2 linked regions of the Tamandua tetradactyla genome follow. The protein of the gene in region 1 interacts with the protein of each later gene in a biochemical or structural test. Links are inferred from orthologs where the notes say so. Each region holds a gene or a part of one and is shown on either strand. Other genes may lie near its edges.

Region 1 (7,332 bases):
TCTGCTTAGTAGGAAAGCAGGGAAGGATTTCCTGAGGAATTGCTGCTTGAGCTGAGGTCAGAAGGGTAAGTAGGAATTAATTAGGTAATGAAGGAAAAAAAGAAGCTTCCAGAAAAGATAACATCATGAGAAAAGGTTCATATAGCTGGAGAAAATGTAGCAAATAAAAGGGGCTAAAGAAAAGTCAGTATGTCTACAGTGGAGAGAACAATCCCATAGTGGCTTGAAATAAGGCTAGAGGGGTCAGTAGGAGCCAGGCAGGCTTTGAGGGCCTGTTATAAGGTTTTCTCTTTATCCCAAAAGCAAACAGCAGAAGAGTAGCACAATCAGATTTTATATCGTGAAAATATCACTGGTTATAGGGTGGAGGATGGATGTAAGGAGGCATCAGTTAAATGCAGTGGACTGTTTAGGAACCTAGAAGAGTAGTGCAAGGGAGCAGGATGACAATAGAGTAATGTCAGGGAGAGAGAAGCAGATTGATTCAAATACTTAGATAAAATCAACAGAACTTCATGACTGACTGAAAATAGGAGTGAAGCACTTGGGTTCTCTGGGATGCAGACTATAACACAGAGATTACCATGTAGCATGTTTGCTAAGGAGTGCTGTTGGAGTCAACATCTATGCAAGAGAAAGAAATTAATCCAAATTGGGCAAAGGAGGAAGCTGATCAGTAATGTGGCCCCAGCAAAGGCCTCAGTCAACCTCTTGAGGCGCTCTGGGACTGTGGAGGTCTTTCAGAGTTGTCCTCCACTGGGGAGAGGAGACTGGACCTTTATACCTTTGTGTTGATCAGTCACTGGATACAGAATACCCCAGGAAAGAAACATCACCTTGGATGAACCTGCTCTCTTCAGCTCAGGGAACTCTGGACGGGGACCCTGAAGGGCTGTCTGCCAGCAGCCTTCCAGCAGCTGGAGAATAAACCTTCATTTTTGAAGGGGAGTCTGGGCTTTGAACAACAGCCTCTGCTACAGGAAGAAAAGAAAGCAAGGCATCAAGGAATTTTCCTAAATTTCTGATTTGTGCCTCTTTGTGGATGCATTTATGACCATATATTGCAATCTTTGGCACATCTGTCATTCTCTGCCTACCTCATTGGGAGCCACTCAGGCACAGACTGTATCAGACAGCTAGTGTGCAGCCCTATACCTGGCACATGTTTGCTGAATAAGTGACTGCCCGTCTACCTCTCCTATTTCCACTCCTTTCTCCCCTACATTCCCTTTGCTCTCCCACCCCACCCCCTCCTTCTAGCCAATGTGGGAAAAAAATCCAGTAGGTTATCTGTGGCCCCACCTGGGCTGAAGCTGAACAAACAGTAAGCCGAGCTCTCCCGGTCCAGGTTTTCTCACTGGGCAAAGCAGGCAGTGCCAGGAGGAAGGGAAGAGGGAGCAGCTGGCTGGACCAAGTTTTCCCTACACGACCGCTTGGATAAAGACTCTGAATTCCCCATAAACCCAGACCCCATCACCACTCTAATCCGCCCTTTGACTGATGCCCCCACCTCTTACAACTACTGAATAGCCAGAGGATGCAACTTCTGTTCATTGTAGAGTTTCTTTGAAATAGAGGAGAGTGGACGGCCACCTGGGCTGAAATATTAGGAGAAGTAAGTCCTGCTCCAAGTAGCTGAACCCACCTCAGATCCTGCACACACCCCATTCATCTTTGTTCCTGATTCACCCCAGTGTCCCAACCCCCTTCCAGCCCCCTCTCGTGGGAACCTGTTGCCCTACACAGGCAGGTCCACCTGCCCTGAGAGCAAACAGGGAGCGTCAGCGAGTCGGGTAGGGGTGAGTGCTGCCTGGAGACCGCGGAAGGTTGGAACCATATCCCAACCCACCCCCATGCCCATTGCTTTTTTTTTTTCAATATTTTTATTGTGAAATATAACATATATGCAAATATTGATAAATTTCAGAGTACAATCGAACAAGTAGTTATAAAACAAATTTCAAAGTATGGTATAGGTTACAGTGTCACAATTTCAGGTTATTTCCTTCTCGTTGCTCTAATACACTGGAGACTAAAAAGAAATATCAATACAATGATTCAGCAGTCATACTCATTTGTTAAATCCTATCTTCTCTGTTATAATTCCTGCTTCTCCTTTCATCCTTCTCCCAATCTTTAGGGATATTTGGGCAATGACCACTCTAACTCTTCATGTTAAAAAGGGGTGTCAATATTATGGAGTAGGGAGATGCAACTGGTTGAGGTTCTTGGTGAGACAGGTACCTCTGGGTTTCAGGACTTATCTGGCATAAGAACAATCTGAAAAGTTTTAGGTTTCTGAAAGGTAAACTTAGTGAGTGAACATTTATAGAGGCTCAGATAGAGCCCTGGGTATTCTTTAGGGCTTTTAGGAATACTATTGATTGGGGCTTGGTATACTGTGGCAATTTTCAATATCTAGCTAAAGCTTGCATAAGAGTAACCTCCAGAGTAATCTCTCAACTCTATTTGAAATCTCTTGGCCACTGAAACCTTATTTTGCTACATTTCTTTCCCCCCTTTTGGTCAGGTAGTCATTGTCAATCCCATGATGCCAGGGCCAGGCTCATCCCCAGGAGTCATGTCCCGTGTTGCGAAGGAGACTTATGCCCCGGGAAGTCATGTCCCACATGGAGAGAGTAATGAGTTTACTTGCAGAGCCAGGCTTAGTGAGAGAGAGACCACACTTGAGCAACAAAAGAGGTCCTCTGGAGATGACTCTTAGGCATAATTAAGGTAGGCTCAGCCTCTCCATTACAGTAGCTTGTCTTTTCATCCTTTTAACAGTGTATTTCACAGAACAAAAGTTTTAAATTTTGATGAAGTCTAATTTATCAATTTTTTAAAAAAAGATAGTGCTATTTTTAAAATATTTTATTGAGATATCTTCATGTACCATACAGTCCATCCAAAGTATGCAATCAGTGGCTCACAATAGTTATGTATTCATCACTGTGATCATTTTTACAGCATTTCCATCACTCCTGAAAAAAAAATAAAAATAAAAATAAATACATCCCATACCCCTTACCCATCCCTCTCCCTGATCACTAATATCACAAACTACCCATTTTTTTTTTTACTTTCTGTCCACCCCCATTATTTATTTTTTGTCCTTATTTTTTAAACTTTTTAAATTGTATAATATAACGTAGATACAAAGCAAAGAAAGAAAAAAGCAACAGTTTTCAAAGGACTCTTCAACAAGTAGTTACAGGACAGAGCCCAGAGTTTGTCATGGGCAACCATACCATCTCAGATTTTTCCTTCTAGTTGCTCCAGAACATTAGGGATTAGAGGAAATGAGTATTTTTTTCATCACAATCGACTTGTGTGTGTGTGTGAAAAAATACCATATATACAAAAAAGCAATAAATTTCAAAACACAGTGCAACAATTAGTAAATATATTTCGGATTTTGTTATGGGTTACATGTTTGTTTTGTTTTGTTTTGTTTTTCTCACCTGTCCATACCCTGGATAAAGGGAACATTAGCCACAAGGTTTCACAATCACCCACCACCCCCCATTTATCCTGGGCAGGTGTCACCACCCCAGGCGGACTCCGACAGCCAAGGCAGACTCTTGCTCCCGGCAGCACTTTCCCCTGTCAGGAGACCCCTGGGGACAACTGTCCTGCACCCCCAACCATGCCCGCTGCTGAAGACTCTTTGGGTGTTGGGCGGTAGAAGGCGGAGGGTACGGGGCAGCTGCAGCAGTTACCCCAGGCCCACGCGAGGAGCTGCAGGGCACGATGGCAGCGACAGTGCCGCGATGGCTGAGGCCACTGCGGCACAATTTCTGGTAACCGCGGCGCTGAGCACCTGGTGAGGCATCGCGCCGCGGCCGGTGCCCCCTGCGAGCAGACCCCGCCTCCGACGACACCTCCAAGTCCCTGCTCCACCCGGGAGAGATGCAGCGCTCCGCGCCAGCCGCGCCCTCCCTCACCCCTCTAACTCTCCCTCCCGCCAACACACACACAACACACGCACACGCACACACACACACGCACGCAAGCACACACGCTCCCCAGCGAAAGCCAAGAATTCCCCAGAACCCAGGGCGGTGGAGGGGAGGGGAGGCTGGCGGGAAGGAAATCTGTGAGAGGAGACGGGAGACATCTAGGGAGGGGGTCGAGCCTCGGAGAACAGTCACGCAGGGGTGGGGGTGGGGGCGGGACGGGGTGGGCAGAGGAGTCACCTGGGGGGACAGATGCGGCCCCGAGCCGGGGAGGGGCGGGAGCCTCGGCGCGGCGCGCAGAGTGGGAGTGGAGGGGCAGGGGCCGGGGCCGGGGTTGGGGGCGCTTCGGGGGTGGGAGCCTGAGCCGGAATCGCCGCGCGCCCAGGTGGAGCTGCTGCAGGAGTCCGCCCGGCCCAGCTGAGGGAGGCGGCGGGCCCGGCGGGGGCCATGGAGCTACCGAGGCTGAATCGGAGCGTGCTGGGACCCGGACCCGGGCCGGGGGCTTCTCTGTGCCGTCCCGGGGGCCTCCTCCTCAACAGCAGCAGTACTGGCAACCACAGCTGCGACCCCCCTCGCCTCCGCGGAGCCGGGACACGAGGTGGGTGTCTCCCTAAGCCCCCCCCCCCACAAGCTCCTTCTCACAGCACCTCAGGACTCTAAGAGCGGCCCCCCACGGCCTCCACACTGCCTCCTCGGACGCCCACACCGTCCCCCTCAGAGCACTCTCTCAGCCCCCAAACGGCCTCTCTCACACATGGGGCCCCACAGTTCTTACAACTCCATCACATCGCAGCCTCTTCACAGACCTTCTCTGAAAACACAGCCCCCTCCCCAACACACATCCCCCTCCTTGACACAGACAGTGGAGAAGCAAGGACCTTCTCTTGCCAAACCTTCCAGGTCTCTCTTGTACATCCCATCCACAGTGCCATACAGGGGAAGAGAAGAAAGAAAGGAAAGATTGGGGGGAAGGTGGGGACAAGATTGTGGGAAGAGCACTCTGGAAGGCCTGATGGGAAGCTGAGTTATTTCTTGTGTCCCCCACCCCACCCCCTAGCCTTCCCAAATGACATCCTCATGCCTGGATTAGGCTGGACCCTGGGGGCTGCTCCCCAGAGCTGTCTGCCTCTATTTTACTCATCCTCAAACCTCTCTGCCTCCCAAGCTGGAGTTCTTCTCAAAGCTCTCTACCTTCTCTTTCTCTGTTTCCAAGTGATGTCGCTAAGTTCCTCCAAGCCCCTAGCATAGCTTGTCTCTCCTTAGGGCTCATCCTCACAGAGACTGGTTCCATCCCTTTGTGCCACCACCTTCTCTCTTCCTACCTCCTTCGGACTGCTTCCAATCACCCAGTCCCCCCCACCACCACCACCACCAAAATGAATTTCACTCTTCCCATCAGCTCACCTTAGCATTTTCTGGATGATCCAGCTCAAAGTACATCATTTTTCCCTTCTTGCACTCCTCCTTTCCTTAAATGTTTAGTGTACATCTGCTATCCTAGTCCCTGAGCTAGGTTCTGGGGACACAAGGAAAAATTAGACCCAGTCTCGGCTCTCATCAGTTCATAATCAAGTATAGAGAAGAGACAAGCCCGTGGATATAGCACAGTTAGCATAGGAAGTACTATGAAAGGGTCTGACTTGTGGGTACCCAAAAGAGAAAACTAATTACCACAGCCTGACAGAGTCCACTAACTTCACAGAGAAGGGAATCCAGGAGCCAAATTTTGAAGTTGGAGTTCAGTAGGCAGAAAAGGAAAGAGGGGTATTCCAGGAGAGGTAAAAGTATTAAGCAGAAGTAAATTATTCCAAGCCCGAAAAGGGAAAGAAACTTGAAATAAACTGTGGTCTGAGTACTTATTTATGCCACAAAATAACACATGCTTTCTCAGCTCCGTTATTATACACACTCACACACACACTCAGATTCTTTCATTCAAAAATGTTTACTGAACAAGAGACTGTGCTAGGTGCCAGGGACATGAATTGAACAAAACTGACACAGTCTCTGCTTCATGGAGCTCACAGGTTAGTATGGGAGACAGGCAAGTAACCAAGGAACTGCAGCACAAAATGGAAAATACCTTGGTAGGGCTGTGGGCACATGGCCTTGGAAATCAAGGTTGGCCTTCTGAGGAAGTGACATCTAATTTGAAATCAGAAAAATGAGAGAGAGCCAGAAGGGTGAATGGGGCAGAACAGGTAAAAAAGAAAAAATCCCAAGCAGAGAGGCAGGATGTGTGAAAGCCCAAAGTTTAAATCCATGGCACTTTTACTCAATGTGACATATTTTTGTGTGACTGTATCAAATTCCCTAAGAGAGGAGTAATGAACACTCAGGCTGGAGCCTAGAGGGTTTATAGAGAATACTGTATATCTAGCTAAGGAGTATGTATTTTATCCTGAGGGCCATAGAAACTACTGAAACTGGGACTAGTTGTTGAGATGGAAGGCAGGGGGATACTTTAGAATGCTATTACAGTGATACATATGAAAGATGACACTGGCTTAGATGAAGTGAGTCGCAGAGGGAAGGAGAGAGGTGAATGGATTTGGAGAACTACTTCTGGAAGTAGAATCAACAGGACTTGGTGTCTGATTAAAAGGGGAGACTGAGGAAGAGGTCCAGGGATGACAACCAGGTTTCTGGCTAGGGCAATGTATTCGATGGGTATTGGTTCTATATAATGTGAAGGATAACGAAAGAACAGAAAATAGATTCAGAAGAGATTATAAATTCACTTTGGAACCCACTGAGTTTAAATGTCAGTGGGACACCCAGATGGAGTTGTTCTGAAAACTGTTGAATGCATGGATCTGAAATTTAGGGGAGAGGCCTGAGCTGGAAATACACATTTGAAAGCCTTTTGCCAATGGAGATAATGGAAGTTATGGGAATAGTGAAAATCACCCAAAGATTGTATAGAATGAAAGAAAAAGAGAACCTGAGGCAAAACCCTGCAGAAGTCCAATTTTCAAAAACCAGGCAGAGGAAGGAGAGTCCATGGAAATTTAGATGAAACTATTAGAGAGATGGGAGCTATGTCTTTCCAGAAGCCAAGGAAAAATAGAGTTTCCAGCAGGATGGGGTAATTGATTTCAAACGCTGGCAAAAAAATCAAGTCAGATAAAGACAGAGCAGTGTTCTTTGGAGTAAATAACAAGGAAGTCCTTAGAAGGAGTTGTGGATGTGTTTGTGTAGCTTTGTCCTTTGGATTTGGGCAGGGGCAGGAGGGGGGCATGGTGTAGTAGAGACAAGAGCACTTTAAGAGTACTGATGGGCAGAGGAAGGTTAAAGGCGCAGGAGAGGGGGTGTCAATAGAGCAAGGATGCCTAAGAAAATAGGAGGTGGAGTAATAGAGCACGGACGCAAG
Region 2 (8,140 bases), on another chromosome or scaffold:
AATCTGTTTACTGGAGGGAGTCCTTTATAAAAGGGATGGAATTCAGGCAAGGACAGAAAAAGCAACAGAAGCAGGAAGCAGAAATTCCAGCAGAATCCAGAAGAGAATGGATAGGCCAGAAGAGGCCCCCATGTGCCTTGCCGGGTGACAAAGTAAGGACCAAGCACCACCAGCAGCCAGCCCCAGAGCACCACGGCCTTCGAGGAGAAAGTGGCACCTTGATGACGCCTTGATTTGGACTTTTTTCCCAGCTTCAAACTGTGAGAGAAGAAATTCCCAATTGTTTAAACCCAACCCATTTGCTGCATTTGCTTAAGCAGCCTAAGAAACTAACGTATCTCCCAAGTAAACCCCCTCACCTTGGTCTCAGGCCCTGCTTTTGTGGAAACCTTACTTAAGACAAGATATTCTAAGGAAACACTTTACTAGGAAAAGAAAACACTCATGGGTCATAATGACCACACCTATCTCTTTCTTTTTTGTCAAATCACTCCAGTTAATGGCAAGTGACACTGATCATGTGGGCTTTTAAAAAGTTCCAGTACAATTAATGGCATTTCCAATATGTGGGGGTCAGGAGAAAGAATGCAAGACCCCAAACAGAAGCTGGACCAAGCGTTCTTGCCAACACAGCAGACAGCCTCCTGACCTCTTTTGAATTGGGGTTATGATAACAAGTGTCAATTCTATGAATAATAAAGTAAGATGCGCCTGAAAATTCCCCTAAGTTTTCTACAAATTCAAAATAGTCACCTGTCTGTGAGCTGCTTCCATGGCTGAAAAATCCGACATTGAAAGCATCACATCTGTTTCAGGACCTGCTTTGGGGGGATGCCTCCCTGACTTTGGCCCTAACCTCACTTAAATTCGTTTCACCAGACACAGATGGAAATTACTAGATTCCAAAACCAGAAAACAGTCCAAGGATGCCTCTTACCACCATTCCCTCTCAAATGCAATATCTGCATACTGTTCACTCTGCTTCTAGCCCTCTGCTGAAGGCAGGGGACTTCCACACCACAAGCTCTGGGCCCCAGCTGGTGAGTCCCCCTCAGTGACGGGACGGGGCAGGGAGCACAGAGAGGGCACGGTCCTTTTCTAGTCTTTTTCTGGGACAAGCCAATGGGTTTAGGGTAAAATTTAATTACCCCATCACACTTGATGAAATACAAGAACAACCTCCATTCATGGTGAAACCACATTACACCTTCCTTTTGCTTTATTTGGATTGCAAATCAAAACCATATCTCTTTAATATTCACAGCAAGGTCTTCATGTCAAAGAGTCTAACAGAGGAGCCTCAAGCAGAGGTTTGCAGGTGCTCAGCCCTCCCCATAACTTTCACTGGGCTATGTTAGCATTTGTGTCCATCCATGACGTCTTACACATTGCCTGTCTCTCTCACTGGAATGAGAGGGCCACGATGGCAGGGATTACGTCTGTTTCACTTGCTGCCATTTCCCAACAGTGTCTGATAGACATGAGATCAGAGGAGGACTTAGGGGAAGGTGGTTTATTTGGGAGATGACCCCAGGGAGCAGCCGTGAGGAAGTGAGAAGAGTGAGACAGGGAAGGAAGAAAAGTCAATTAAAGTGATGTTAAGGTCACTGCTTCAGGCTAAGGGGGCTGGACACTGCAAGAGCTTTGGGAAGCATCCAGAAGCATCCAGAGTGGGCTCAGAAGGAGCAGGTTTCCTGCTTGGGGATTCTCTTCAGGGGAGTTAACACTCAAGTACCTCCAGGCTGAACTTTTGCAGAGAAGTGGAGAGGGGCATTTTGGAAGTCCAGCTGCAGCCAGAGGTGGAGCCAGAGGTGGGACGTGGGGCACAAAAGCACTCGCCTCAGAAAGCAATATGCAAATATTTGTTAGTGAACAAATAGATTTCCTTTAGTGCAATGCATATGCATTTACAGGAAAAGCGCCATATCCCAGGTCCATCTTGGTCAGAATTCTTAGTCCCCCTGGCCATTAAGTAAAATCATTACTGTGGCTAAGAAGTTCAGATCTGTTTTGTTTCTTTTATTTCCCCACAGGATTTTATAACACATCCCTGCCCAGAATTCCCATTCCTGGAGGGAAGGTGGCTACACCTTTATGGTAAATGAAACAGGCTCATTACAAAGGCTCTTCTTCCGCCTCTGATAGTCCTTGTCACCTATGGCCTTTCCTCTGTGGCCTCCTGACCACTCCTCTGGTTCTTTATCAGCTCCCCTTCTTCTACTCACTCCATCCTGTCCTCCTCAGGGGTCTGAATAGAGCTGTCTCCATGGTACCCAGCACTCCATACTTCCCCCGGGGTTGACCTCCATGTTCACATCAAAGGCTGGGGGTTCACATCGCCAGTGCCCCCCCTGTCCTGAGCTCAAGGCTCATGTTTTCAACCTCCTCCTGGACTATCCATGCAAAAATAATGAGCTCAATCTCATATGTAGCTCATCCCCTACCCACTCTCATACCCCACATCTGTTTTTCCTCCTGAATTCTCTGTCTTGGGTAATACTCTACCACTCAGGTTGCCTTCCAACCTGGGACCCAAGGTCAGCCTCAGTTACCAAGCCCCATTGCTATTTCCAGTTTCTTAATAGTGGTTGCCCTTGGGTGGTTGAACTTTTCCTTTTTCTTAACTTTCATTTATTGTCTGGAGGTTTTCTTATGAGCACTTGTTACTTTTATAATGTAAAAACTGGTTGATTATTTTAATTATAAAACTATCTTGATTCCAGGTGCCCTTCTAACCAGTCCCTACTGTCCAATTTCTCTCCCCTTGAAATACCCTCCCCATCACAACCAGACTGATCTTTCCAGAACCTGAACTTCATTCCTTCACTCCCTCATCAAAACATTTCTCTGGGGTCATTTCCCATCTCCAACCCCATATCCCTCTTCCCAATTCATCAGAAGCATCTGATGTTCAGTTCTGCTGCCTCCCCTCCATTTGCCCCATTATACCATCAGCCTGTGTCAGCATGTCAGCACTGCATCCCAGGCACCTGGCACAAAGTAGGGTATTCAGTTAAATATTAATCAAATGGATGAAGAGAAGGGAGTTAAGTAACTGGCTAAGGTAAGAAATGTCCGAGAGCAGCAGTGCTCAAAGTGTGATTCCCAGAACAGGACCATCCAGCATCACCTGGGAACTTTTTAAAAAAAGTGCTCACTTTTTAAATGTGGGTTTTTTCCCCATAGTTAGAAAAGGTGTGAATCTACAGAATAATCATTCCTGAAATACAAAATTCCCATATACCACCCTATTATTAACTCCTTGCCTTGGTGTGGTACATTTGTTACAACTGATGACAACACACGTTTATAATTTTACTATTAATTATAGCCCATGGTTTAACTTAAGTCCTTAAGTGAACTTGTGGTTCACTGTGTTGTCCATGGATTGGGAGCGTTTTAGGAAATCCTTCAGGTGATTCCCATGCAGCTAAAGTTTGAGACCAATAACAAGTTTATAGTTGTCGGCATGCCTTGGCGACGGTCACAAAGAAAACTGGTTTCCCCAACTGCCTCCTGGGAAAGCCACTGGGAAACATTTCATCAGCTGCTCTGTTTTTAAGAAGCTAATACCAGCTTCAGGTTGTAGAAACAGTCGCTTTTCTGATTTAGAAAGGGAAGCGGGGTCAACCAAAGTGGTCCCCGCGCCAAGCTTCCCGTCCGCCGCGATGCCCACGCAGGCGCCCCCCACAGCCCGGCTCATCCCGGAGTCCCGTCCCAAGTGAGTTCGGATTCCGATTCTGAAGGAGTCTCTTCCAGATCCTCGACCCCGCGTCGGAGACTTAGGAGAGCAAGCGAGGGGGAGGAGTTGAGGGCGCGAGGGAGTGGGGGTCAAGGCGCGCTGTGGACCTCGGCTACGTGCTGCTCTTCCGCGCGCCTCGGTTTGCGGTCTGTGAAATGGGAGCGGTCATCCCTGTGCGGGGACAAGGCGACCTCGGACACCAGCTAAATGGCTTCGGGGCAAGAAGGATAAAGTCCACCACCGCGCGCGGGCTCGGGGTCGCCGTAGGAAGCGCGCCCAGCAGCCTTAGAGCCTCCCTTGCCTCTTCCCCAAGGGTGGGTGATGCGGGAGCGGGATCCTAATTCGACTCTCAGAATTACACTTTGCTGACACCCAGCACTGCCTCGTGTCCCCCAAGTGTTCTTTCCGGCCCATCTTGTCCCCAAAGGAGGGGCGGACGCCGGAGCGAGCGGGAACGCGGCGTGGCGGGGAGGGGGTCGGTCTCCCTGGGACACTCGCTGGCGCCACTTGGCGGCTACGAGGGGCAGCGGCAGGTGGTGACTGCCCGGAAGAAGACAGCCCGTTTCCAAACCCAGACGGTGTCACTCCCATTTTACAGCTGCGTACAGCGAGGCCTGGGGTGCCAGCAGGCACCTCTGGCCCGAGCCTTTTCACTGACCCGGGACACTTGCTCCCGGAATCTTGAAGAACTTCGAGGGCTTTTAATGGGCTGAGAAGAAAGGACCCCGACTCCCTCTGCCCACCCCTGAAGGAGTTCACTCGTTGGCTGAAAGAGCAGAGCTGCCTCGGATTCTGGGAGAGGGGCCGACAACCCCTCCTCTCAGAATTACACTTGCTGACACTCAGCACTGCCTCGTGTCCCCCAAGTGTCCTTTCTGGCCCATCCGATCCCCGAAGGAGATTAAAGGCGGGCAGCTTCTCCGTCCGGGGGGAGACTGCCGACCCCCAGGTCTGTCCTGCCGACCCCCAGGTCTGTCCTTCCGACCCCCAGGTCTGTCCTGAAGCACGCCACGCTGGCGCTGGGCGGGGGAGACGGCGGTGCGCCGGGTAGGGGAAGGAAGTACTGGGGGCTGAGCGGAGGGTCCCGGGCACCCCTCTGGGGAGGGGTTAACCCGGCTCCAGTGGGCCATTTCGCCTCTCCCCCAGGAGCCACCTCAATCGGTCGTCGCCCCAGTGGCCGCCACCTGAGCACGTGTTGCTCCGGGTCTGCGTCAGCACTGGGTAAATACGGGACTGGACGGCAGCGCCGGGCGGGGCTATTTAAGAGCCTGCCTCCCGCCCACCCTGAACTTGGCTCGGCCGCCGGGCTGCTCTGGTGGAAGCGCACTGCCAGCTGCGTCCTGCTTACTCCAAAGGTAGGTGTCCCGGCTCGCTGGCGAGGGATCCAAGTGTCATTTGTCCTAGGAATGCTGTCTTCAGTTTTGTACTCCTTTCCATTTTGTTTTTCTCTTTTCTATGCCTTCTCTACGACAGCTTGAATGACATAAAGTCAGAAATAGCCGTGCTGTATCTAATATTGGGAGCCGGGTGGGTAAAGCTGCATGACAGACTTTCACACGCTCCCATCTTTCTTCTCTTATGCTAACAATGCTTTAATGTCCATTTGCAAGGATTAGCATTCAAATTGGGTTTTGCTGGATTTTACATAGAGGTGCTGTGTACTTTGGGGATCTCTTCTAATAAAACACCAAGAGGTTTTAAGCTTTAAATCCATTTTCTAAATACTGCAGAAAAAATGTAGGGCTTTGGGGATTGAAATGTGCAGGTGTGTTTTAGATGCTGGCCAGGCATTGCCAAAGACTGAAGGCTGATTTTAAAAATCCTACTTGTGTTTTGTGCAGTGGTTTGATAATGATTCCCATATACACCTGCAAGAAACTTTATAAATCTGACTTTTGTTTATTGCTCCCATTATTTTAACTGTGCTTTTCTTTCCTCACCATTTGTTTCTCCACTGAAAGCCTCTTGGGTATCTGGAAAAAGAGCTACTTTCTTCAAGTGGCATGGAGCCTTTCCCTAAAGATATTTTTTACACTTTAATCTTTTGCTTCTCCAGTTAGGAGACCAGAAATGCTCTACGAATATTTTCCTCAAACTAAAGGATAGTTGAAAATATTCCTTCTGCTAAACATCATAGAGGACAGAAGTACCTTCCCGTTCCGGGCACCGGGTGTGATGTACCCAAAAAACAAGCCTGGGCGCATCGGGGCACACGTGCTGTGGCCACTCGGCTCGGGTCTGCTTGGCGAACCCTGGTGCCTGCGCCGGCCTGGCCTATCCCGAGCGCCCAGACCCTTCGCTAGAGCCCGCGGGTGCCCCGCCCTTTCATTAACGCCTTCTCCCCTCTGCTCTCGGCAGCCATGAACAGCGGCGTGTGCCTGTGCGTGCTGATGGTCATACTGGCGGTGGGCGCCCTAGCGCAGCCCGCGCCCCGGGCTGACCCCGTGGGTCCCGGGGCGCCGCCCGCGGAGGAAGTACTGCGGAGGCCGCTGAAGGCGGTGCAAAGGACCGACGGCGAGCCGCGGGCACACCTGAACACACTGCTGGCGAGATACATCCAGCAGGCCCGGAAAGGTAGGGAGAGACCCCTTCCCGTCCCTCACTTCTGCCCCTGAGCAGAGCTCGCATTCCAGACGCTCTTCTCTAGCGCCCACTGATGGAGGTAGGTGACCCCGCGGGAGGAAAAGCACGAAGCACGTTAAGCTGAAAGTTTTTTTCATGTTCGATTCCCCACTTACACAGCAAGGGTCAGTGCAGTTTTCTGGACGTCCTTTTTGGCAAACTGAGAGGGACGTACGAAGGGACTTAATTTATTAGTATGGGAAACATTTATAAAAAGCTTTCTTTGAACTAATTTTTGGCATAGCGTTGCTGTTTAAGTTCACCACCGCTTTATGAAGACATTTGAAGAATGTTTGGGGAACCCTCAAAAAGGGCCCCCTGATGCACTAAATACCCTCCCTGGTAAATGCGAAGGAACTGAGAGCCACCCAGGTACTGAGTCTGAAAATCCTCTAGCAGGAAGATATCAGTGCTGCAGAATGCTTCAGATCTGACAACAGCATTTTTAAAAAAGTGACCAAGGGTCAGTGTTTACCGAAGTATCTAACAGGAGGGAAGAATCAGCAGCTCACCTTGGCAAAGACTTAAAAAAAATGATTACTCAACAATATATATTTTTACTTTGCAATTGGAGAGATTATCTCAATTGCAGAAAGCTGAACAAACCACAGATTTATCAGCATCAAACCTTTCTCCAGGATAAGGTGAGTCAGCAGCTCACCCACATGTGGACAGTCCTGTCCCTTTCCTGGGTCTGCCTTTCTCACCTTTTAAGTAGGGATGAGGCTAGATTTCCCCTACGCCCCTTCCAGCTCTTTCTGTGATTCAGAGGGAGGCTTATCCATCCATCTCTTGTGGTCCTCGGGCATCGTGAGTTGGACTGGGGGCACGCCCTTCTACCAACTTTGCCCGCAGTGAGTCCCCTAGCTGTGGGACAGTGTGTGCAGCTGGACTAGCACAGCTGGGATGTAAAACCATTCAGCTAGGGTAGTGGGAGGTGGGCTCCCTTACTGAAACTCTCGTATTGCTGCATGCTAGGGCCTGGGTTTGAACCTTCACTCTTGGCTTGACTAGAGGGGGAAAAAATAGAGGTCATGGCTTTGCAGTCACCTATGATTTCATATGAACTGGAACCTTTTTGACTAGGGGATTTCAGAAGGAAAGAGCAGAGGGTGATTTGTTATATTTCTTCCTCTCTTTGGAAAATTGTTCCTGCTACCACCTTCTGTTTTGTCTTCCTGCTAATTAGATGTGGAAAAGATGGACATGCTCGTTAAATGACAGAGAAAGTCTGAAAACTTTTTGGGTTCCCATTGATTGTCTGTCTAAAGGTTATGTAATTTACACCCCCTGCATTGAATTTCAGCCATATCATCTGAAGTATCCTAGGCTTTTCATTGAGCCATAAATCTGGAAGAAAATTTGAGAATTAACTCCATACCTGCTTCCCCACCTTCAGGAAAGATCACAGAGAAATAATTATAGAAAAATCCAGTTACTACATTATTTCCCATAACATACACTTGATAGTGACTCCTATAGTCCACGTCTTAGCTGGAAAGTTCTTCCTAGCATCACGTCTCAGCCCCCTCTTCCTTCACTTTCAGGCTTTTGTGCCAAACAAACCTGGTGGATATGACCATCACTTGGAACTTTAGCTGCCAGCATCCATGATTAGAGGCAGCTAGAAAATAATCATAATCATCTATTTGGCCGATATAAACTAGAAATAAATACTGTTCAGTTTTTTCAATGTTTTACATATCTTAAGATCATGCCAGATTTTTACTCAACTATAGTGTATTTTATGCTTAAAGGTCTTAAGATGTAATGCAC

Evidence for each region.
Region 2: the proteins of CCKBR (region 1) and CCK form a complex in vitro, tested with the Homo sapiens proteins (3 studies listed by BioGRID). The link is inferred for Tamandua tetradactyla from reciprocal best matches to the Homo sapiens genes CCKBR and CCK.

What each region holds. Positions count from the first base shown.
Region 1 is NC_135334.1:79,677,536-79,684,867, forward strand, and holds the start of CCKBR (gastrin/cholecystokinin type B receptor), read left to right. Parts: upstream 1-4,305; 5' UTR 4,306-4,406; coding exon 4,407-4,557; intron 4,558-7,332. UniProt on the Homo sapiens protein: Receptor for gastrin and cholecystokinin. The CCK-B receptors occur throughout the central nervous system where they modulate anxiety, analgesia, arousal, and neuroleptic activity.
Region 2 is NC_135341.1:45,023,867-45,032,006, forward strand, and holds the start of CCK (cholecystokinin), read left to right. Parts: upstream 1-5,053; 5' UTR 5,054-5,097; intron 5,098-6,100; 5' UTR 6,101-6,102; coding exon 6,103-6,316; intron 6,317-8,140. UniProt on the Homo sapiens protein: This peptide hormone induces gall bladder contraction and the release of pancreatic enzymes in the gut. Its function in the brain is not clear.